Ovis aries: one gene and its partners. The protein of the gene in region 1 purifies or fractionates together with the protein of each later gene. This does not show direct contact. Links are inferred from orthologs where the notes say so. Each region holds a gene or a part of one and is shown in the gene's direction. Other genes may lie near its edges.

Region 1 (3,500 bases):
GTTTACCTATTATCTATGGTCGCTTTCAGCAGTGGCAAAGTTGAGTAATTACAACAGAAACCGTATGGCTCTCAAGCCTAAAACATTTTCTATCTAGAAAAAGCTTGCCATTGCCCGATCTAGAGACTCAAGGCTGGAGTTTGACTTTTTTGGCTCAAAGCTGGGATCAAAAAAAAACAGGTTAGCAAAAAAAAAAAAAAACAAAAAAACAAAACAGGTTAGCAGAGGTCTGGAAGTTAAGTATTTTATATACCTGGCAGTTAAGTATTTTAAGGAATTCTTGGCACTTCAAAGCCTTAAATGTCAGTATCTTAGATTTACATGTTTATATAATTTAGGCCACTGTCTCTATGTAACTCACTGTTTGAGAGTACCTATTTGACCTTTGGTTTAAAAAACTAGTTACTACAGAGATGGTAAGAATGACACCTGCACCGTGCTTTTCAGTCTCAGTTTAGTCGTCTCAGTATTCCAAACTAGTGAGATTTATTTTATTTTTCACTTCAGGGGTGTTTTTCAAACTAAAATCCATGTCAGGAGGTTTTATAAGTATCACCATGTCAGAGCCTTGCCAAGGATACCTGTCACCAGCAGGTGAATCTTTATCTATGCCCAAGGCAGCAGGACTTAGTTTAAATCTAATTGCTGAGTATAATATCAATATGAGGGAAGGGTTAGCACAGGCTAAGGACGCTCCAAATCTTTCTCTCTTTTGGAGAAAGGATCGCAGTGTGAAATACATGTACCAATATACTAGTAAAGAATCAATAGCAAGTGTCTTTGTGCTGGAAACCCCGTGTGAAATAATGTTCATATGAGAATTTAAACTCGTAAAAAACTCTGGTTTTCCAGAAATTCCTTGGTGGTCCAGTGGTTAGCTTCTACTGCAGGGTGCCTGGGTTCGATCCCTAGTCAGGGAACAAGGTCCCACAAGCCATGCAGTGAAAAAGAAAATAATTTTCATAGGTTTTCCTTTATCTGAATTTGTTTCTTAGTGATTTTTAAACTTTTCTTTACCTGGACCTGTTCTCACACAAGAGCTAAGAAATGTGTAAGTAGAGAACAGTAGATTGAATCCCCTTTGAGTACTTTTTGGCTGTCTTCCAGAAAATCAAAGAGGAGAATGAAAAATTACTGAAAGAATATGGCTTTTGTGTTATGGACAACCACAGAGAGAGGATCGCCAACTTCAAGATAGAACCTCCTGGGCTTTTCCGTGGCCGCGGCAACCACCCCAAGATGGGCATGCTGAAGAGACGAATCATGCCTGAGGATATAATCATCAACTGTAGCAAGTGAGCACAGTTCGTCCTTTGGCCAGAAATGAAGTGGGTGGCTTCCTTTGTTCTCGGTAGTGTGGATTTTTCCCCCACATTACAGAAGACTGGGAGCAGCATGGTATTTCTGTGTATAGATCTTCAGGTGCTTATCATATATTGTCTGGTGAGGAGGAAGCTTGGAAATACATGCTCACAGATTCATCCACTTCCAGTGATGAAAAGTGAAATTGGTCACTACTTCCCACCTCACTGCTCTACTGCTTTATTTCCACAGAGATGCCAAGGTTCCTTCTCCTCCTCCAGGTCATAAGTGGAAAGAAGTCCGACACGATAACAAGGTTACTTGGCTAGTCTCCTGGACAGAGAATATCCAAGGTTCTATTAAATACATCATGCTGAACCCCAGCTCACGAATCAAGGTAAGTGGTAGCCAAGAGCTGCACCAGTTAGTGGAGCTGAAAATCTCTTGTCATTTTATTTGAAATCTAATGTCCTCAGCCTCTAGAATCACTTTGAGAAATTGAAAACCATCCCCACCCACAAAAAAGGGTACTTATCATAATTAGCATTATCTGGTGACCTCCCTAAGATGTTCCCATTTTCTACATCACATTGTAATCTTATTTATTAATTTGCAGATACTAATTGAAATCCCTGTATGAACCTGGCACAGTGTAGGCATGGTGCTAGGAATTACATTGGTAAATAAGACAGACACACAGTCCTTGCTTTTACATTGCTTACTGTCAAGTGGTCAGACTAATGAAAAATGTGGTAAATGTATATTGGTTTCTACAGCTAGTTATCTTCCTCTTCCTCACCTTTCTGGGCTCTGAAGAAAGGAATATAATTTCTCTGAATCCAGAAAGAGTTGTAAAATCTGGAGTCTTACATACTTTGTCTTCCTAAGTCTTCATTTGAGTAGATTCCACCAGGACTTAATGGGATAATGTTTGGGAAAGCATATCTTCAACTGTTGTGTACACGTGTGTTACTGTTTATTGATACTGTTATTGAAAAGAGAAAACTGTCTTGGAAGGACTATCAGTTCTTATTAGCCTGCTGGGCATACCCTGCTTGAATGAATCCCTCAGGTATACTGTGGAAATACGAATGTCAACTTAAGAGATGAGTTCCGCAAAAAAAAAAAAAAAAAAAACAGAATTAGTTCTGTATAGACTGACTGTTTATATTCAGGGCACTGAGAGTAAAGCCCCTCTTAATCTTGGTTTATAGTTTATTAAACACTTGTTAATATTTGAAAGCCACAGCTCAAAAGGCCATGTGTCTTTTCAAGACCAGACTGCACATTTTCTAGCTTGTAGTCCTGTGTCCTAATGAAAAATGCCACTGTGCATATGTTCTTCAGTGTAATTGGAAAATGACACTGTTCTTAGTTTAAAGTGAGCATGGAATCAGAAAGAGAACCCCCATGGCAAGTAAAAGTCAAAATCACTTTAAGAAACATGTTATATTCCTGTTCTGAAATACCGCAGAGCTATAGGGTGACCAAGGCAGATGAAAAGTGGTTTTAGCCCTGAAAGAACTTACGGCCTGCTGGGCAAATTGGGTGAGGAAACAGTTGTATTAGAAAGGTAAATGCTAAATGCTAGATAAAGGGAGCAGTTACTCCAGCAGTTAGAGAATAGGAACAACTTTTTAAAGGAAATTTGGTTGCAGTTAGGTCTCAAAAGAGAAGTATTTCAAAGAGCAGTGTGTCGTATGGACGGAGAGGAGGGGTATGAAAAAGGAGTAACAAAAGGAATTATCAAGTGATGGTTGGGTAACATTGTAAATATGCTAAATGTTGCTACTGTTGGGGTGAATTTTATATTATTCACACAGTAAAAAAAAATTATCAAAATGAAGGATGCTGGATTACTGTTAAAAAGTATTTTCATGTAAGTTGACATTTGATTCTTTTAATAACCATACCAGACATGTACTAATGCCACCATTTTACAGATGAATTTAGTCTCTGAGAGGCCAGATTGTGGCCAACCTTAAATGCCACACTAAAGTGACTGGACTGTGTTCTGCATTTGATGGAGAACCATTGACTTGGAACAGAGGAGTGTCTTGATCCGATATGCAGGCATAATGCTAATCACATTAGTGAATGTAAAGTGTTGTCAGTGCTGCAGAGGATACAGGGCACCATTTGAGAGTATACCAGAGCACCTGATCTGGCTTCCAGGGCCTAGGAAATGCCTTTTTAAG
Region 2 (4,143 bases), on another chromosome or scaffold:
CCACATCATTGTTGCTCTCATACTTGAGAGGTGCCTGGAGGAAAATATACATAACACAGTGATGCATTGTGGATTTTATAATGGACTTGACTTCCCAGTCCCATAAGTGTTTTAATTGTCATTATTTAAAACCTCATGTGTTGCCTAAACTAACAGCCACTGAAAGTATAGTCAAGTATTATGGGTCTTCAAGAGGAGTCAAGTAGGAATTGAAATATAACTTTTAAAACAGAGCTGGGTTATCTAGCAGACAGATTAAACATTAACTTTTCATTAAATATGTCGGTCACTGGAAGATGTCCATCATTGTTTCAGTGATTAAGGTTTTCTTGCCTGCCCTTTTATATGTAATATTGATAATTCTACCTAAACCATTTCCTTCTCTGTCTCCTAGATTGCAAGAAAATCTTCAAAATGGATGTTAAGAGCTAACAGGCATGAGCTTAGGATGTGTGATACTGTTCTAAATGCTTATGTGTGTATCAATTCATTTAAAACTCAAAACAGTCCTAGGAAGTAGGGACACCTCTTATTCCCCCCTCCATTTTATAACTAAGAAAAGTGTAAGGTTTTTCTAACAGGAAGGAAAGGTGGACAGAAGTGGCACCAAGACAGTGTGTGAGCCTGCTTTCTGAATCATCTCCGAATGCAGCCCTGTCCCTAGAGCAATGAGCATGTTTTCTGGTGTAGGAGAAATTATTGAGAACAGAGCCTACTAAGCCCAAGGATACCCTTGCCACTTTCCTATCTGCGTACAGGTAGAAATCTCCACCATCCCTTTTAAATTGACCTCATCTGCTCGGAGCCAGCCCGTATACTGGGCACTAGTACCAGGCATTGTGCAAGCCTAGGAAACGCTCTCCCCCGACATCCGTTTTACATGTGTGTGGAGGGAGGGAGGCACAGCCTGGCGCGTGAGCCAGTTCTCCAGAAGGGACGTTTGAGCTAGAATTTCTGGCATAATCGAGCCAGCGCTCGAAAACCTGGTGCTGAGCGTTGGAGGGGGAGTGTATCCTCTCCAAGAAGGAAAGCCTCATGGTGGAATGGCTGATACCTATCCTGGGCGCTCGGGGCCAGGACAAGCTGGCTGTTTCTTCTGATTAAAAGAGGAAGCAATAACTTTGCCTATGACTCCAAACACACTGGTTCGAACTTGGCAGTTAGGAATCCTATGCAGTTGTCTCACGCCACTCAGGGTGTATACGCGAGGAATTTTCACTTGGCTGGAGTGAACTCGCTCGGAGCCGCGCGTGCGCCTCTGATGGGGGTGGGGGCGCGCTGCGCGCGGACGCGGGGCGGGGGGCGGGGAGGAGGTCCCAGGGCGCCCTCCTTTCGCGGTCCCGTCGCGCTACCGGAGCGGACAGCTTCCGGCCGGTGCCTCGGGTCGCGTGGGCGGCAGACCTGTGACCGAGGAGGCCCGGCGGGGGCTACTTCATAGACGTCTTGTTCGTTAGGAGCAAAGGGCGCCTCCTGGAAGAGCGCGTGGAGGGCGCTCCCCGGGTGGAAAGACTCCTCGGGAGGAGTCGAGGGGCCGAGTCTGGGGGCCGCTTCCGCCAGCCCCGTAGGAGGAAAGAGGAGGGGCGGGCTGCTCAGGAGCAGCCTGGGCGGGCCGCCCGCGCTCGACGCAGGCGGGAGGAAGGGAGGGAGCGAGGGGCGAGCTTTGGGGAGCAGCATGGAGACCTCGGCTGACTTGCTGGCCGCCGCCGCCGCGCGGGGCCGGGCTGACGAGGTACGGGCACTGCTCGAGGCTGGAGCGTTGGCCAACGCGCCGAACCGTTACGGTCGAAGCGCGATTCAGGTGGGTCAGCAGGTCTGCCGCGGAAAGGTGGGCGGCTGGGTGGGTGGGTGGATGGCGAGAGGCTTTGGAGGACGAGGTCCGCCAGTGAGTCGGAACCAGGTAAGCGTTTCTTGGTAAAGGGGAGACTTTTCAGACCGAGTTCGGGATCGGAGACCTCTCGGCGACTCTCAGGGGGCTCAGGACGGCCGCGGAGCTGGCTGAGAAGGCGCGTGGGGTTCAGATCTCTAAAACGGTGTGAAGATCTAGAAGGGAGAACCTACGTGTGTTAATATAGACCGATATGCGAAATTGACGAACGTCTGGAGTACGAGTATAAAGACAGTAAGACATGCTGGACCACTTACTCCCGAACTTATAAAATTGTGAATGGAGCTGATCGACTTCTTTGTTGGGGGGGGAGGGGCGGTGAGAGGGAGATTTCAGTGGAAATCTACTGCTGTGTAAGTTGGAATAAAGGTCGATTGAAATTATTCAGAAGCAACCATATATCGTGTTTATTATTTTTTTTTAACCGAGTAAGGAACATATATGCTTGTTTAGGAAATAGACATACATGAAAAAAAAAATTAGTGCAATTATGCCTGAAATAATGCTGCCAATTTAGTTACCACTTGAGTGTCTCTTACCTTTTGGGGTATTTTAAACTTACTTGGTATACATTAATTTCCTGGGAAGTTTTCAGTTCCTCATAGTTTAAAAAATGTCATTTCTCCTCTCCCCACTCCAGTTTTGTATGTGTGAGGATGAGTTGTGAGTTCGTTTTTCTGTGTGTGTGTGTGTGTGTGTGTGTGTGTGTGTTTTGCCTTCACTAACTTCCTAAATCTGGGGCTAAAAATAAATTCTTCCTGGCAGTCACTCCAGTTTTATTCCAGGTTTCGACAACGATTTCTGATTCTGAAAAATAATATTTATATGAAATGTACACTGCAAAAACTCCAGCATAACAAGACAAAGGAAAAGTAACTCAACCTGGAACTTAACAAGTGATTTCACAAGCGAATCGTCCTTTCCTCAAACTATGCTACATAGAACAGATATATTTTATATACTTTTAGATACAAAAATAAAAATAAAATATCCTCAAATCTGAGATTATTTGGGATTTGAAATGTGGAGAGATTTGGAGATTAAAAGGTTGAATGGTTGTAGAAGAGAAGCATGAGTTCTTTTTTTAAAAAATGCATGCATGATTCATAATTGGATATCTCTAAAGTTTTGCCAGCAGTTTGCAGACTGGGTGTTACAGCCTTCTAGTTCTGAAAGATGTTATATTAGACTTTATTGTTTAAATACAAAAAGAAAGATAATTAATTTTAAATTATTTTTAAATAGGATAAGGGCATCGACAAAAGGGATATGATTTTAGTTTTGAACCCTAACCAAATTTGTGTTTAAAAATACTTAGTTTATAGAAAAATTTTAATGACTAAATTAAATTTATATCTTCAGTTTGACTTAAGTACCCTAGAAATATTCATTTGAATGATTTTCTTTTTGCTTTGGATTGCTACTATGATTTAAATATTATGTTACTTTTCATACTTTAATACTGTAGCATATAATAATACCTTTAACCAATTTAATGACTAAGACCAAGGACTTCATTTATCCAACCCATGTAATATATTTTCACCTGCATTATATACAAGCATGGAAGGAGACATACATATATATATATGAGCTCTGGCACTTATAGTAGAGTTTCCAAAAGATTATGGTGTCCTTGGGTGTGGCCCCTTTGTTTTGGAAATTAATTCATAATCCATGAGAAATCCAATAGTGTAAATTTCCCCAGTTTTTATTTTAAAAAATTCTTTCTTCTAATGCACTGTTAGTTTTCCTTTTTGTAGCTGCAAGTTGGTTCACTTAAATTTTCTCTGTGGTTTTTTTTTTTTTTTTAATTAAATCAGTTTCACTTTCTCTAGGATAGAACTCAACAAGCATAGTATAACTTGTTAAGATTCCTTGGTTTGAACAAATTAATTCAAGTTTAATACAGAACTCAACTAAAAATAAATAATTCCTCAATATAGTGTAGCTAATGTAACCAAATAATGGTTACCCTAAAAAAGAATGTTCTATCACCTCCACCCAATGTATAACACTCAAATTGCAAAGTTGCTGTGATTGTGAACAATATTTCAAAATTCCTCTTTGGTAATGCTCTTGTATCATCAAAGATTATTTAGGAACCAAATGAAGTGAGCACCTCCTCTTTAATGAAGTCTGAGTGTGATCTTGGAAGGTGTCTTCCTATTTCTGCTATAACAAATTACCACAAATTTAGTATCAACATAAATTTATTATCTTATGGTTCTGTAAATCAGAATTCTAAAATGGGTCCA
Region 3 (2,865 bases), on another chromosome or scaffold:
ACCCAGAAATTAGAACAAAGTTATAAGAGTGTGTTTGAAATATTCCAGAAAAGTCACAAACATGGTGTTTGAACAGGAATTCAGAGCAGGGACAAAGCACAGATTTTCATGTATTGCTTATATGTACTACTTTCCTTTCCATTTGAAGTAACAGAGCTTGATGCTGATGATGCTGAGGATAATGTACCACCTCCTCCAAGCTCTCCTGCTGCTGATTTCCCAGCTGTAACTGAAACCATAAACCCTGTTCCTAAAAAGAATGTGACAGCAAAGAAGACAGCAGCAAAAAGTGAGCCTCAGTCTTTGAATTGGGTTAATATTGGGATTATGGACAGAGAGGCCTGGCGTGCTGCGATTCATGGGGTCGCAAAGAGTCGGACACGACTGAGTGACTGAACTGAACTGAACTGGCTTCTACAAGTCAACTTCAAATTTTTATTCTCAAAATTTACTATAGATATTAAAATAAAGACTTTGTCTAAATGAAAACAAATCCTTAGATCTTTATAATCAAAATTGCTAGTCAAAAGATTTTTAAAAAGAGGGTTTCTCAAAATGCCAGGTGTTATCCTAACTCATATCTATGACAGGGATGGGACTTAGAAACAGTTACAAACATTTAACATGAAGCATGTAACTACAAAAAAAAATCGGATACTTAAGAATATTTCAATTCTCTCATGCATTTTCGTCTCAATTATGTTGTCTTTTCCTATGTTAAATATAAGCGGAAAACAAGTTGCTAAAGAAAGTTTGCTGTGGAAACAGTTCAGCTGAGAGTGACCCTGATGAATGCCTGTGTTACAGGTCAGTCTCCCACCTCCACTACAGGCGCCAAGAAAAGGGCTGCACCAAAAAGAACCAAAAAGGACCCAGACTTGGATTCTGATGTCTCTAAAAAGCCTAATGCCCCTAAAACCAAGACTCGCCGCAAAAGGAAGCCATCCTCCTCTGATGATTCGGACTCTAATTTTGAGAAACTGATCTCCAAAGCAGTCACAAGCAAGGTATTTATTCTAGTCAGCCCTTTCACTGTAGGTTTTTTTTTTCCACTGAAAAAAAGTTATTGTGAAACACATAATCAAGCTTTGCTGCTAATAATTTGGCACATTTTTAAGAAAATAAATGTAAATCCATTACCCTTTTACTCTGTGTAGTTTAGTTGTAAAACAGCTAAATGTCACTAATTAGTCAATGAGAGATTTGCCTTTGGTCTCTTTCTTACTACTTGTTAGAAGGTGGAATATTCCTTGAGTTGTAGTCTGTTGGTATATTTTTTGCATTGAAATTCTACTGTCTGGTTGATACTGGAAATTACTTGTGCTCTTCTATTTTAGAAACCCAAGGAGGAAAGCGATGATTTCCATCTGGACTTGGACTCAGCTGTGGGTTCTCGGGCAAAATCTGGAAGAACAAAGAAACCTATAAAGTACCTTGAAGAATCAGATGAAGATGATTTCTTTTAAAATGTGAGGTGACTATTTTAAGTAATGATCTTAAAGTTAGGTAAATGTCTCAGTTTCCTCCCCTCTGAATTTAGTTTGGGGAAGGCAGTTTTAGTTCAGGACCATTAAGGTGAAGTATGTAGAGCCCAAGTGTCCTTTATCTCTCTGTAATACTGTATAATACTGTGACCATCTCCTGGAAAGTGTTTTGTTTTCTTCTCTGCTTTGTATATGTATTTAGTCTGTTTTCTTTTGTCTTTTAAAGTATGATTTTAGGCTCTCCTGGCCTCTTGGGATAGTTGTGTGGTAACTTTAGCATAATGTAGTTTGACAGTTATTAAGCTAAAATTGGAGCCCTTTGACATAAAAGTTTCTGCTCTGCCTACTTTCAGTAAATATGAGATAGAGCATGATTAGTTCCTGTTTTATCTTAGTTTTATAAGCAATTTTCCATCAGATAGAACTCTTATGTAGTTCCAGTTCCAAATACTCAGCCTTTTATATGCTGAGTTTTTAAGCAGTGAAAAATTGTTTGTATTCTTCATATCCTTTTGAATATCACCAGAAGCTGAAGAAAAACACCATGGATGTATCTTTATAACAGTCAATAAAATGAAGAAAATTAGATCCTAAGTTGTGATTATCTCAGCACTTGACTTGTCCCCTCAGATTGCAAAGGAGTCAGGAACAATATTCTCAAAGAATATTGATGCTATCTACACTCAGCAGTGAGCTTTTATATCCATTTTGGGAAATCTCCATAATTTTCAATTTATAAACTTTTCAAGACCTTCCTGCATTCATTACATGTGTGTGACTTGAGTGATGTTATCAATGTTTTTGTAAATATTTACTATGTTTTTCTATTTAGCTTAATTCCAACTATTTTGTACTTTAATAAAACATTGTAAACATTGCAACCCTTGATTGTTGCCCTTTTTTCACCCTGCACTACATTCTTTACTTTAGTCTGAAATATATCCTCTTCACTATTCACTATAAAATAGCTTTGAGAACTATTCTCATCATTTTCTGATGTCCCTCATAACTCCTGGCCACAGTGATAGTTCTAAGAGAAAGGCACCATGACTAATGGCCAAGCAGATTTTTCCCTGAGCTTTAAACATGGGTGCTAAATTCATCTCTTCCACACTCAAACGGTGTTGACCCTCCATCAATAAATAGCTTTAAATATAAATTTCTATTCCCTAATTTAATAATATTTTGATAATCCAGTCGACTACTTGATGATATCAGTAAATTGGGGCAATTGGCTAATCACTGAAGGGGGAAAAAATGCTAGAAAGGCCCAAACCCTTCTCATCTTACAGGAAAGTCAAACTCAGACCTTTTTTCCCCTCCCCCACACACATTGCACACATTATGCAGGATCCTAGTTCCCTAACCAGGGATCAAACCC
Region 4 (4,116 bases), about 23 Mb from region 1:
TTTGATGAAATGCATCAATCTTTCGGCCGAGGAATACAAAAATTCCATGAACAGGATAAATAAAACCACATCCACACTATACATGATAGAAAGACTAAAGAATTCTACAGACCAAGGTAAAACACTAGAAGTAACTAAAAAGAAATGCTGTAAACAAAGGAAAAAAGAAACAAAGGGAGAATATTCATAATAGGGAGATGGTTAATATATGAAATGCTTTTAATCAATCAGAAAAAAGTTTAATAGAAAAAATATAAACATGCAATGGTCAAGAACTGTATGAAAGATATCCAATTTGCACCAGTCTTTTAATATGCAAATTGAAATTTCCACACAAACGAGCACAGATTTAAAAATTAGATTGCCAGTAACAGAAAAATTAGAGGCAAGGAGCATGCTCATAGTCTTGGCTGGAATGTAAATTACAATCTTTTAGAAGTCAACTTAGTTAACATTTATCAAAAATTTAATGCGTATGCTCCTCTATCCAACAATACTACTTCAAGGAGTTGCCCGAATTACAAGAGATTGGCAGTTAGGTTAGGTTACATTTGTAGGATATGATGCCATCTTTTTAAGAGGTGCTGATAAACAAAACATGAACCTGGCATAAAATTAAACATACTTTAGTAAGCACTTTGCTGAATTCTTTATGGCATGAACTCATTTTTGTTTTTTAAAAGATATATACTTGTAGAGGAAAAAAAACTTAGAAAGTTACATAGAATAAATGATATCAATTTGTGTGTAGGTGGCGGAGGAGCTTTAAGAGCTGGTAGTAGGGAGATAACTTTTCTTGTTTTTTTTAAATCATAACTGTACCTCCCTTCAAACAGCTAAAGAAAAGGTGGCTTTTCTTCCTAAAGAGTCAGACAAACCGATGCGACTGAGCACAGAGCCTGGATTTACGTTTCACTCAGGGCTGTAAATTTTCTACCCCTCACGCGGGAGGCTGATGAGGCAGCACAGCGTCGCAGCTCATCGACCATTCCCGCCCAGCCTAGGACTGATTTTCACACTCACAAGGACTCCTCTTACGGGTGCCGGAACATGACAAAACGGCCAAGACTCCAGCGCACGCCTATCTGCTGGGCCCCTGAAGCGCTGCGCTCCTGCCCCGCCCCCATACCTGCATCCTCCAATGGATGCTCGGGGTGGGGCGGCTTTCGTGCAGTGCAGGGACAGGATTGGCTTTACAGTCTCTCCGCCCAGGCAGCGGGAGGGCAGCGTGATGACGTATCAACAAGGGGCACGGAGACGTAGCGCGCGCTAGCAGACGCGGCAGTATTAAACGGCTGCAGGCGCGGCTAGCTGTTAGAGGCGTCTCAGGCGTTCGTAATCGTGTTTTGCCTCTCGCTCTCATCCTCTGAAGCCTAAGCCGGTTACACATTCCTCACTCCTTGTACCTGTAGCCGTGTCATTGCGACTCCGCCACCATGTTCGAGGCGCGCCTGGTCCAGGGCTCCATCTTGAAGAAAGTGCTGGAGGCGCTTAAGGATCTCATCAATGAGGCCTGCTGGGACATCAGCTCAAGTGGCGTGAACCTACAGAGCATGGACTCGTCTCATGTCTCCTTGGTGCAGCTAACCCTTCGCTCCGAGGGCTTCGACACTTACCGCTGCGACCGTAACTTGGCCATGGGCGTGAACCTCACCAGGTGAGCTCCAAAGCCTCGGACATCCGGGCCATGGTCCGCTCCTACCTCTGGCTCTTGGCGCGAGCTCCTACGAGCCGGGCCCTCATTGGCTGGCGTGGGCCATCTGCGTCTTCTCATTGGCCTGCTGCGGAGTTGGGCGGGTGGCGGGACCCAGCAGAGCGCGCGGTTTGCAAAGCCCGCGCTGGCTGCAGCGCGAACAGCGAACCGGCTGTTTTCCGCGCCAAAGTCACAAAGCGTGTGGTGGCGGGAAAATGATGGACTTTGCGGTTTCAGGAAAAGACTGTTGCAGAACGCTTTGGTCGTTAAGTGCAAGCAACTTGGATGAGAAACCTTGGTCCTGGTTGACTTAAAGTGCTTTATAGTGTATCCTAGTTCTGTCACACTATCTAGGGACCAGAGTATTTCTTTTATTACTGCAAAGTTGCGGTGAGCACCCTAAGATCCTGGACTTGAAAATTTTCTCCAGGGCAATGGCGTTCAATTTTTGAACTACACATGTTTAAATCTTAAAGCTTATGATAAATACCCATAGTACATGCCGTGTACTTTAATAGGTTTATTAGATCATTTTTAAAGATAGTTGGCCCGATAATTTACTTCACCCACTCGAAATTCATAAAATGTTGTTCTTTTATTTATATCCAGAAGTGAAATTGCTTTTGGTATGTTGTGGGCCTTTTGGGTTTATACTGCCAGATTGCATTCCAAAGTGTCTGGACCGGCTTGCATATCCCCCGTGCAGTACGTTTTCCTAACTCACCAATCTGACAGATGGCATACTGGTTAAGGGTTTCCCTGGTGGCTCACTGGTAAAGCATCACTTTGCCAATGCAGAAGATGAGGGTTCGATCCCTGGGTGGAAAAGATCCCCTGGGGAAAGAAATGGCAACCCACTCCAGTATTCTTGCCTGGGAAATCTCATGGACAGAGAGAGGACCCTGATAGGCTGCAGTCCAGGAGACACCACTTACGCTCTAAACAACTGCAACTAATGGTTAAAAGTGGTAACTCCTGATTTTAATTCCATTAGAAAACTAACGATCTTGAGAAGATGGTGTTTAAAAACCCTTTGTCTTCTCTGTTCTAGCATGTCCAAAATACTAAAATGTGCTGGCAATGAAGACATCATTACCTTAAGGGCTGAAGATAATGCGGACACCTTGGCACTAGTATTTGAAGCTCCAAGTAAGTCCACCCTTCTACTGAGTTATGGCAGAGGAAACTAAAATGCAGTGTATTTCCCAAGTCTGATGATTGTAAAATATACCTCTTAGTTGTAAATTTACGTGTTTTTCTTCAAATTTGCTTTCTTTTGGTAGATCAGGAAAAGGTTTCAGACTATGAAATGAAGTTAATGGATTTAGATGTTGAACAGCTTGGAATTCCAGTGAGTATCAAAAGTTTCTGATTGAGCATGCTGTACACAGTTATGATAGTTACATAACATATATTTATATAATAATTTAAAGCCTACTTCCTAATAGAACTTTTCTGTATATCTGCTCATGTATATTCCAGAGTAGGGTATTTAGACTGATATATTTGTCATTTTATTAAATTATGGTGTTCTACAGTGCTATGGTTTGAATTCATTGCTGCCAAGGACATATTTGCATTAACCTCTGCATCTTTTAAAAAAATTATTATTCCTAGAGTGCTTGATTTTTATTGAGATTTTAAAGCTATTTTAGCAGAAATTCATTATGGTTAGGTTTTATCAACATCAAAAGAAGATGTGTTCAGATGTTTACAATGCCTAACACGCTCTTGTTTTGGAAAGCAAACCTATTTGTGCTGTTACCATTTGTATGCCATATACTAATGTCTTCTTGATTTAGACCTCCTATAGAGTGATTAGCTGGAGGCTCTTGTTCCCTGGATAGTGCATTTACTTTTAAAAGTTTAAGTTCTAATTGGTTTCTTAGTATGATGATGATTATTCTTTTTTATATCTGCATTTTTTTTAGTAGAATGTTAAGAAATTGCACAATGAGTGATATTTCAGAGTAATCAGAAAATCTTGAATTGTGAGTTCTTGTTTAGATGTTGAATCTTCAGGAAGTGAGGGTGCCAAATCTTTCATTTCCATGACCTTTACATTTCTTTGTTTTATAGGAACAAGAGTATAGCTGTGTAGTAAAGATGCCTTCTGGTGAATTTGCACGTATATGCCGAGATCTCAGTCATATTGGAGATGCTGTTGTAATTTCCTGTGCTAAAGATGGAGTGAAATTTTCTGCAAGTGGAGAACTTGGAAATGGAAATATTAAATTGTCACAGACGAGTAATGTTGATAAAGAGGAGGAAGCTGTAAGTAGTTTTCAAGTAAACAAAATACTTTGAAGAATTACACTATGTTATGTCCTAGTTTGGTAAGGCTACTGTTTCAAAGTACCATAGACTGGGTCAGATTTGGTGTCTGACGAGGGCCTGCTTCTTCATTTAAGAAGACAGCAGCC
Region 5 (3,500 bases), on another chromosome or scaffold:
GGAAGAGGAGGTGGAACGGGAGATCATAAAACAGGAAGAAAGTGTGGATCCCGACTACTGGGAGAAATTGCTGCGACACCATTATGAGCAGCAGCAAGAAGATCTGGCCCGAAACCTGGGCAAAGGAAAAAGAATTCGTAAACAGGTCAACTACAATGATGGCTCGCAGGAGGACCGAGGTGTGTGTGGCCGGCCCCGCCCCCCACCCATGGGCCGTTCCACTAGAGCAGTGGGCCCCGCTCATCTGCCCTCTCTCCCTCCAGATTGGCAGGACGACCAGTCCGACAACCAGTCCGATTATTCGGTGGCCTCAGAGGAAGGTGATGAAGACTTTGATGAACGTTCAGAAGGTGAGGCCCTTGCCTTTCTGTTGGATTCTTTTACCTGTTGCTGTGTCTAACATCCCGATTGGCATCGCTCACACGTCCTTTTCTTTTTGTAGCTCCCCGTAGGCCCAGTCGTAAGGGCCTGCGGAATGATAAAGATAAGCCATTGCCTCCTCTGTTGGCCCGTGTTGGTGGGAATATTGAAGTGAGTACCGCTCGGTTCCTAGAGCAGGGTGGGTGCGAGCGGCTGTCGGGTCTTGGGGGAGTTGGGTTGCCTCCCTCTCACCTGGCTCCTTCTGCCCCCAGGTTCTTGGTTTTAATGCTCGTCAGCGAAAAGCCTTTCTTAATGCAATTATGCGCTATGGGATGCCCCCTCAGGATGCTTTCACCACCCAGTGGCTTGTGAGGGATCTGCGAGGCAAATCGGAGAAGGAATTCAAGTAAGTTGAGTGCTTGGGTGAGCACTGTAAAGCAAGGCCTCTGAGTCTGGGTTTTTCTGCACACTGGAGCCTGCTGTGCCAGGAGGCAGTCTGTGTCTCCTGCTGAAGCTGGAAGTGCAGCTGCTAGGAATAGGTCTCTCTGTTCCCTGCTTCCCCAGAAGAGGACCTGGAGCACGGGACAGGGTCTGGAGACCAGCTCTTAGCACCGCGGCGGGCTTTACCTCACATGGAGCCACAGTCACCTCCAGCATGAGGCCTGACTGCCCTGCGGGTGGGAAGGAGTCTGGTCTGGGAGCTGGCTGCTCTTTAACCTGTTTCTCTGTTTCTTTACCACAGGGCTTATGTCTCACTTTTTATGCGGCATTTATGTGAGCCAGGAGCAGATGGGGCTGAGACCTTTGCTGATGGCGTCCCCCGAGAAGGCCTGTCTCGCCAGCATGTCCTTACTCGGATTGGGGTTATGTCCTTGATTCGCAAGAAGGTGAGCCCTGAGCCTCCCTCTGTGATCCAGGGCTTATAGTGGGAGCTGGAGAGCCAGCAGGGAAGGAGCCTAGTTGGACTTGGGTCTCCAGCCTCTTGTCCCATTGCTGCAGGTTCAGGAGTTTGAACACGTTAACGGGCGCTGGAGCATGCCTGAACTTGCAGAAGTAGAGGAAAATAAGAAGATGTCCCAGCCAGGGTCACCTTCCCCAAAGACTCCTACCCCCTCCACCCCTGGGGACACACAGCCTAATACTCCAGCTCCTGCCCCGCCTGCCGGTGAGTGCTCCTGGGCAGTGGTCCTCTGTTCTCTTCTTGTCCTGGCCTGTGGTTTTTCTGCTCCCCTGTGCTCAGTTCTCAGGGGACTCTGGCAGGACGCACAGCAAGCTCCCTCTCAGTTTAGGAGGGCCGTCCTGAGAATAGGGCTGGCTCTTAAAGGCACGAGAGGACAGTTTAAGATGAGACAGACTGAGACATGACCTTCTCTGTGATCTGGGACCTTCTTAATTAATGTCTATTGTTGGCCTGCAGAGGATGGGATTAAAGTAGAGGAGAATAACCTCAAAGAAGAAGAGAGTGCAGAGGCAGAGAAGGAGGTGAAGTCTGCACCCCCTGAGGCCGCTGTCGAGGTGAGAGGGTGACAGACGCCACACTGGAGGCCGCGGGATTGGCCCATTCTCCCTCTGGGGGGCTGGCCCGTCTGCTTCATTCAACCTCTGTTTTCTCTCTTTTGAAGTGTGCACAGCCCCCTGCCCCTGCCTCAGAGGAGGAGAAAGTCCCAGTGGAGCCTCCTGAGGGAGAGGAGAAAGTGGAAAAGGCAGAGGTCAAGGAGAGAACAGAGGAAGCAATGGAGACAGATCCCAAAGGTATGTCCATCTGCGTGCCCTGCAGACTCTGCGAACCAAAGGACTTCGACTTGTAGCCTGGCTAGAGGCAGTCCAGAGGAACTGACACACGGAAGACGCTTTCATCCCTGAGTTTAACTGTGGGCTTTTTTCTCCCTCAGGACATCTTTTATGACTTTTAATCATTAAGATTTGGTTTACGACTATTTCAGATATAACAGAGGTGGGGAGCACTCTTCTTTAGATATGTTCTCAATGCTGTCTGTTCCCCCCAGGTAATGCTGATGTGGAGAAGGTGGAGGAGAAGGCAGCAGTCGATCTGACTCCCATTGTGGTGGAGGACAAAGGTGGGTGTTTGGAGAAGCCGACTGTACTGTAAAAGGACTCTATTTCTGAAAGGAAGAACTTTGTCTCCCAGACACTCCTCCACCCACAGGCTCCCTATCAATATTGATATAATCATCTTATCCCAAGCTAAAACACTCCCCCCCTCCCTTCCTGTGACGGTCAGCGGCTGGTGGCACCTTTTTGTGGGTTTAAGAAACAGTTATACGCGGGGACTTCCCTGATGGTCGAGTGGTTAAGACTGCTCTCCCAACGCACGGGGCCCAGGTTCGATCCCTGGTCAGAGAACTAGAGCTCACGTGCTGCAACTAAGACACAGCGCAGCCAAATAAATATTTATATAAATATAAAAACACGTGGAGAAAGGGTGGAGGTAGATGGGTGGTCTTGTAGCACACAGTGCTATATGTACAGGTAAGGGCCATGGTGCTGTCTTCTGTCTAGAGCTGACATTTCTTTTCTGCCTGTTCTGTAGAAGAGAAGAAAGAAGAAGAGGAGAAAAAAGAGGTGATGCTTCAGAATGGAGAGACCCCGAAGGACCTGAATGATGAGAAGCAGAAGAAAAATATTAAACAGCGTTTCATGTTCAACATCGCAGATGGTGGTTTTACTGGTATGAAAAAAGGGCCCACTGGAAAGATTCAAGGTGAAATTAGGGTTCTTGTCAGAAACCAAGGTACGGAGACTTTAGCTCTCCTAGAGGGAATGCCAGGCCTACGGCACACTCCTCTGGGGTCCCTGTTACAAAGCCAAAGGCACAGTAAGTTGGTATCTGGGGTCAGGAGTGAGTAGCTGAATCCTCAGTGGTGTCTGCCTTTGTGTTTCTACCCCCTTCCCCATACCTCTCTTCAGAGCTGCACTCTCTGTGGCAGAATGAGGAGCGGGCAGCCACCGTCACCAAGAAGACTTACGAGATCTGGCACCGACGCCATGACTACTGGCTACTGGCTGGCATCATAAAGTATCCTTTGCCTGAGTCCGATCCAAGGTTCTGGTGGGATTTCTGCCGGTCTCACAGTTGGACGTTCTTACTTTCCCTTGTTTCATTTTTCCTGAGCGATTAA
Region 6 (4,007 bases), on another chromosome or scaffold:
AGCCTGTTCCTGACCGAACTGTGGATACAGCTGGAGGGTCAGGAACTGTTACCTTCCTTCCCCTTGGCATTAATAAATTTAAGTTAATCCTTTCCCACTCTTCCCTCGTTCTATATTTGCTCAAACCCAATATAAATATTACCAGTTGATGTTCATGATGGGTAATTTCAACACCACTTTCTTAAAGTTCCTTACTGTTAATGTGTGAAGTTACCTTGGATAGGGCAGACAAGTCATCCTTACTCAGTGAAAAGCTTGTACATAAGCATAGGCTTTTGACCTTGCCAAATTATCTAAGCTAAAATAGTAGGCAAAATGTTCCCAGATTCAAAATCCCCAAGTTCTCCAAGAGATGAGAAAGAAGAATTTCCATCAAGACCCACGTACATTTTGTTTTGAATTAACTGAAATTGTTTCGGGGAAGGCGTAAAAATGGTGTCACTTCATGAACTGTGGCAGGGGACTGGCTGGCTGGAAGGATGCTGTCACGGCTTGAGCTCGCATTTGTTTCCTATGACTCCTCCCCTAATCGTCCTAGCGCTCAAATGAAGCCTGGGCATTTAATTTCCCTTTCAAAGGTGAAGTCCTTCCCCCGTGGCGCGGGCCTAAGTTCAGTTTATCCGCAGGATGTGCTCCCTCTTACCGGCTTGAGCTCCCTGTCTGCCTGGAGCCCCTAACCCAGCGTCCTATCACCAGGCCTGGAGGGGCAGAGGCTTTTGCTTCCCCACATTTTCTAGGAGCGAGAGAAATCCAGTTATGCTGTAGGCTTCCCACTCCCACCCCAGATCCCGCTCTCCGTTTCCCCTTCCTTTGACTATGGGTGGGGCCATTGCACCCGCGCGCGGCAGTTTGTATGGGGCGGGGCCGGCACGTCAAGACTCCCGCCTCCTCAGTGTCCAGCCGCCGCCGCCGCCGCCTCCTCGACACGGAATCGGCGCTCCTGGAGACTTCGGCCCCGGGCAGAGTAAGGGCGGGGGCAGAGCATCACGTGATGACGTCGACTCGCGTGCGGCTGTTGCTAAGTTGACAAGAAAACCCCGCGAAAATCTGGGCTTTTTTTGCGTTGCATGTTTTGTTGCTTTCCCACTCTTCCTTCCTCTCCTCCCCCTAACCTCCGGAGGAAGGATTTTTTTAAAAAAGAATTCCGACCGCTGCCGGGACCCGGAAGCGGAAAGGGCATCTCTGAGGTCGATACTTCCGGGTCACTGGGAGAGTGCGGGATTCCGGGGCCGAGAGAGGGTGGCGGAGCCGGGACCTCGCGTGATTCTCGGAACCCGAGGAGAAGCGGCGTCTGTGGCTATGGCTGTAACTCTCGACAAAGACGCTTATTATCGACGAGTGAAGAGACTGTACAGCAATTGGAGGGTGAGATAGATCCCGTAATTTCCCCAGGGAGCCCCCCTTTGCCATCCCATAATAACCCCGTTTCTCGGCGCCTTTTTTCCCCTTTCCGTCAGGAATTCCCGGGTTCAGGGTCGTGCCCATTTAGTTGCTCCAGGATCATTCACCGTAGACGACCCCAAGCGCCACCCTGTAGCAGGGAATCCCCCCCGTAATCACCTTACCCTGCGGCCACCACCATCTTCCCCGCGTGCCTGCCCCCGTCATGCATAACAGCCACCTCTCGTAGTTTCTTCCCGCCCTAGAAGAGGCATCATCATTCTTCCCTCCCACTCCGTGATCACGTCTTGCTGCCCCCTCCTCCAGTGTTCATACACACCCACGCACTCGCTCTGTCCTTCCAGAACCAGAGTGTTGTGCCCCAGGTCCCGCCAGAATTACAACCATTTCGTCAAGGATGGATGGAGGGGCCAGAAGGATGAGAATCGGGCTCTTGGCGTTTACCATTTGCGTTGCTCTTGCTGGAGTTAAAAAAAGACATACTGCTCACGCGCAACCGCCTCCTGTTCTAGGCCCTGCCGTGGGTAACACAGAAATCTAACGCTGAAAACCTGCAGGTTTTGGTAATGCAGAAAAACGATGTGATGCTTAAAACCTTATTCGTTTTCTCCGTGGTTGAGGATCCAGGGCACGTGTTTAGAAAAAGAGCTGTTACCGTTTCTAGTCTAAGGATTGGGTATTATTGATTACTTGGAAAAGTCCGCAATTAAAATTTTATTTTTGTGATGGTAATTTATCAGTTCAAACATTTGATTGCATCCTGTGGTGTCTTCTGAGCTATCCAGCTGAAGTATGACCTCTGAACTGTTGTCATTCAGGGAAGATAAAGCTAAAGAGGGCTTTTTAAAACCTGAAGAGCATCCTGACAAAAATGATCAGTTCTGACTTCAGCATTGTAAATTGCCTTTGAAACTGATCTACTAAAAACTAAGCTATTAAAATTGATCATTTGCCTACCGTTCATACTAAAGGTTCCTGTGCACGTTTTATCTTTTGGGCATAAATGGATTAGATGATTGAAAATAAAATGGGTTTTATGCATTTTATAAGCACAACTAAGGACTATGCTAGACAAAAGCTGAAATAAATTTACTTTTAAAAATTTTATTGGTTAATTTCTACCAGATGTTTTTATAAGTTCTCTCACTGTCATGTTTTTAAAGTTTGAACGTAATCCATATTAAAAATACTTTTCTAAATGCCCAGATATTTCCTGAAGATTAATAAGTACTATGATGTGAGTAATAATCAAATGCCTGCTCTTCCACTCATAGACCCCTCACACACCTTTGCTATAGTGGTTGTTTCTAGTCCCAGTGATTCAGAAGTTGATCAGATAACCCTATCTAGACCATTCACTGAAGCTAAAATTAATTTAGAGCTCAAAGTTCCCATACATGGTAGATAAATGCAAAGCATGTACTAGGGAAATACTTGAGGCCTAAAGACCCGTTGGTAAACTCAATGTCGATGACAGTCTTTAAATCCATGAAAGTTAAGTTATTGGCCCTATTTTTTTGTTTGTTTCTCAAATGCTAAAATTTATCTTGGCCCTTCTATCATTTGAAAGGAGCATGTTAAATGATAAGATCCTGATCTTACAAAGTTACAAGCCAGTATAAAAATGTACTTGGCAAAATTTGTCATGTCGTTATGAAAAATCTTATTTGAATAGACTTCCTGCCTTGTTATAACTGTGAGTTTTAATAACTGTGCTTAGACCCCACCTGTCGAATTGCTTTATGCAGTCTTCCAGGTTACAGCACTTTATCCCGACCTGCTTAACTAAAGATCGTGGTTTCCGGAATAAGTTCTGGTTGCTTATCCTCTTAGGTGCAGCAGGAAAATAGTGAAATACACAGGGGCAAGCTATATTTGCTTTTCTACACTTATTCCTTTTTTGAGTAAGAAAATTGGCCTTGAAATAATAATAACTTGTAGTTAATTATAGAAATCCCAAAACTTGTGTTGTCCACTCCCATCTTCAAAGACAAAAATTAACTAAAAAACTAGTTTAGACTCCGTTCCCACTTGTAAGTTTTAAATACCCTTAAAGCATTAGCCTTACAGAATGGTGTGGTTGCTTCTTGTAACTCCAGTGCTGTTCACACAACTACCTAGAGTTGTAGAGCATGTAAAGGCTATTTTTTTTTCTTTTTTAAAATAAGAGTAGGAACTAATGTGTTTCCTCATCTCCTTTATCTGCAAGTTGATTTTAAGGTACATTTTGTGAGGCTATTGTAAATAAGATATATCTCTTAATTACAGTTTAATTATGTCCCGAAAAGAGTTGGATTATCACACACTTCCTTTTTTGAGTAGAAATTTTTCAAACCTTAAACCTTATACCTGAGTGAATAGTGTTATTTTAGGGATAAGATAATGGGCTTTTTTTTTTTTTTTAATGAGAACTGCTACAGCAGGAAGAGTTTGCAGCACCTTTCTGTCTCTGCAGTAGAGACCCCTAGGTAGTGACCCTGGGTGGTGAGCATGAGCTTCTCCCCTGTCTTCTTATACTTACTGGGTCCTTATTCAGAGCTTCCCAGTCTTTTCATGACTGTGATTGTTTTTAACCAAGTGATAGGATTAGTACTTCATGGGGGTAC

What was found.
Region 2: the proteins of TOP1 (region 1) and cyclin-dependent kinase inhibitor 2A purify together in Homo sapiens (affinity purification with western blotting; 3 studies listed by BioGRID). This does not show direct contact. The link is inferred for Ovis aries from reciprocal best matches to the Homo sapiens genes TOP1 and CDKN2A.
Region 3: the proteins of TOP1 (region 1) and TOP2A purify together in Homo sapiens (co-immunoprecipitation; 4 studies listed by BioGRID and IntAct, with this or other methods). This does not show direct contact. The link is inferred for Ovis aries from reciprocal best matches to the Homo sapiens genes TOP1 and TOP2A.
Region 4: the proteins of TOP1 (region 1) and PCNA purify together in Homo sapiens (affinity purification with western blotting; 3 studies listed by BioGRID and IntAct, with this or other methods). This does not show direct contact. The link is inferred for Ovis aries from reciprocal best matches to the Homo sapiens genes TOP1 and PCNA.
Region 5: the proteins of TOP1 (region 1) and CHD4 purify together in Homo sapiens (affinity purification with mass spectrometry; 3 studies listed by BioGRID and IntAct, with this or other methods). This does not show direct contact. The link is inferred for Ovis aries from reciprocal best matches to the Homo sapiens genes TOP1 and CHD4.
Region 6: the proteins of TOP1 (region 1) and SUPT16H fractionate together in Homo sapiens (co-fractionation; 3 studies listed by BioGRID and IntAct, with this or other methods). This does not show direct contact. The link is inferred for Ovis aries from reciprocal best matches to the Homo sapiens genes TOP1 and SUPT16H.

Annotation. Positions count from the first base shown.
Region 1 is NC_056066.1:69,751,757-69,755,256, forward strand, and holds part of TOP1 (DNA topoisomerase 1), read left to right. Parts: intron 1-1,107; coding exon 1,108-1,295; intron 1,296-1,554; coding exon 1,555-1,699; intron 1,700-3,500. UniProt on the Homo sapiens protein: Releases the supercoiling and torsional tension of DNA introduced during the DNA replication and transcription by transiently cleaving and rejoining one strand of the DNA duplex.
Region 2 is NC_056055.1:90,755,901-90,760,043, reverse strand, and holds the start of cyclin-dependent kinase inhibitor 2A, read left to right. Parts: upstream 1-1,343; 5' UTR 1,344-1,672; coding exon 1,673-1,798; intron 1,799-4,143. UniProt on the Homo sapiens protein: Acts as a negative regulator of the proliferation of normal cells by interacting strongly with CDK4 and CDK6. This inhibits their ability to interact with cyclins D and to phosphorylate the retinoblastoma protein.
Region 3 is NC_056064.1:40,375,080-40,377,944, reverse strand, and holds the end of TOP2A (DNA topoisomerase 2-alpha), read left to right. Parts: intron 1-148; coding exon 149-289; intron 290-807; coding exon 808-1,157; 3' UTR 1,158-1,337; coding exon of another isoform or gene 1,338-1,466; 3' UTR 1,467-2,365; downstream 2,366-2,865. UniProt on the Homo sapiens protein: Key decatenating enzyme that alters DNA topology by binding to two double-stranded DNA molecules, generating a double-stranded break in one of the strands, passing the intact strand through the broken strand, and religating the broken strand.
Region 4 is NC_056066.1:47,048,102-47,052,217, reverse strand, and holds the start of PCNA (proliferating cell nuclear antigen), read left to right. Parts: upstream 1-1,316; 5' UTR 1,317-1,436; coding exon 1,437-1,657; intron 1,658-2,744; coding exon 2,745-2,842; intron 2,843-2,976; coding exon 2,977-3,044; intron 3,045-3,772; coding exon 3,773-3,967; intron 3,968-4,116. UniProt on the Homo sapiens protein: Auxiliary protein of DNA polymerase delta and epsilon, is involved in the control of eukaryotic DNA replication by increasing the polymerase's processibility during elongation of the leading strand.
Region 5 is NC_056056.1:209,672,248-209,675,747, forward strand, and holds part of CHD4 (chromodomain-helicase-DNA-binding protein 4), read left to right. Parts: coding exon 1-179; intron 180-263; coding exon 264-350; intron 351-442; coding exon 443-531; intron 532-632; coding exon 633-766; intron 767-1,102; coding exon 1,103-1,247; intron 1,248-1,359; coding exon 1,360-1,525; intron 1,526-1,561; exon of another isoform or gene 1,562-1,699; intron 1,700-1,777; coding exon 1,778-1,875; intron 1,876-1,982; coding exon 1,983-2,112; intron 2,113-2,366; coding exon 2,367-2,438; intron 2,439-2,911; coding exon 2,912-3,049; intron 3,050-3,288; coding exon 3,289-3,397; intron 3,398-3,500. UniProt on the Homo sapiens protein: ATP-dependent chromatin-remodeling factor that binds and distorts nucleosomal DNA. Acts as a component of the histone deacetylase NuRD complex which participates in the remodeling of chromatin.
Region 6 is NC_056060.1:24,113,821-24,117,827, forward strand, and holds the start of SUPT16H (FACT complex subunit SPT16), read left to right. Parts: upstream 1-1,207; 5' UTR 1,208-1,299; coding exon 1,300-1,365; intron 1,366-4,007. UniProt on the Homo sapiens protein: Component of the FACT complex, a general chromatin factor that acts to reorganize nucleosomes. The FACT complex is involved in multiple processes that require DNA as a template such as mRNA elongation, DNA replication and DNA repair.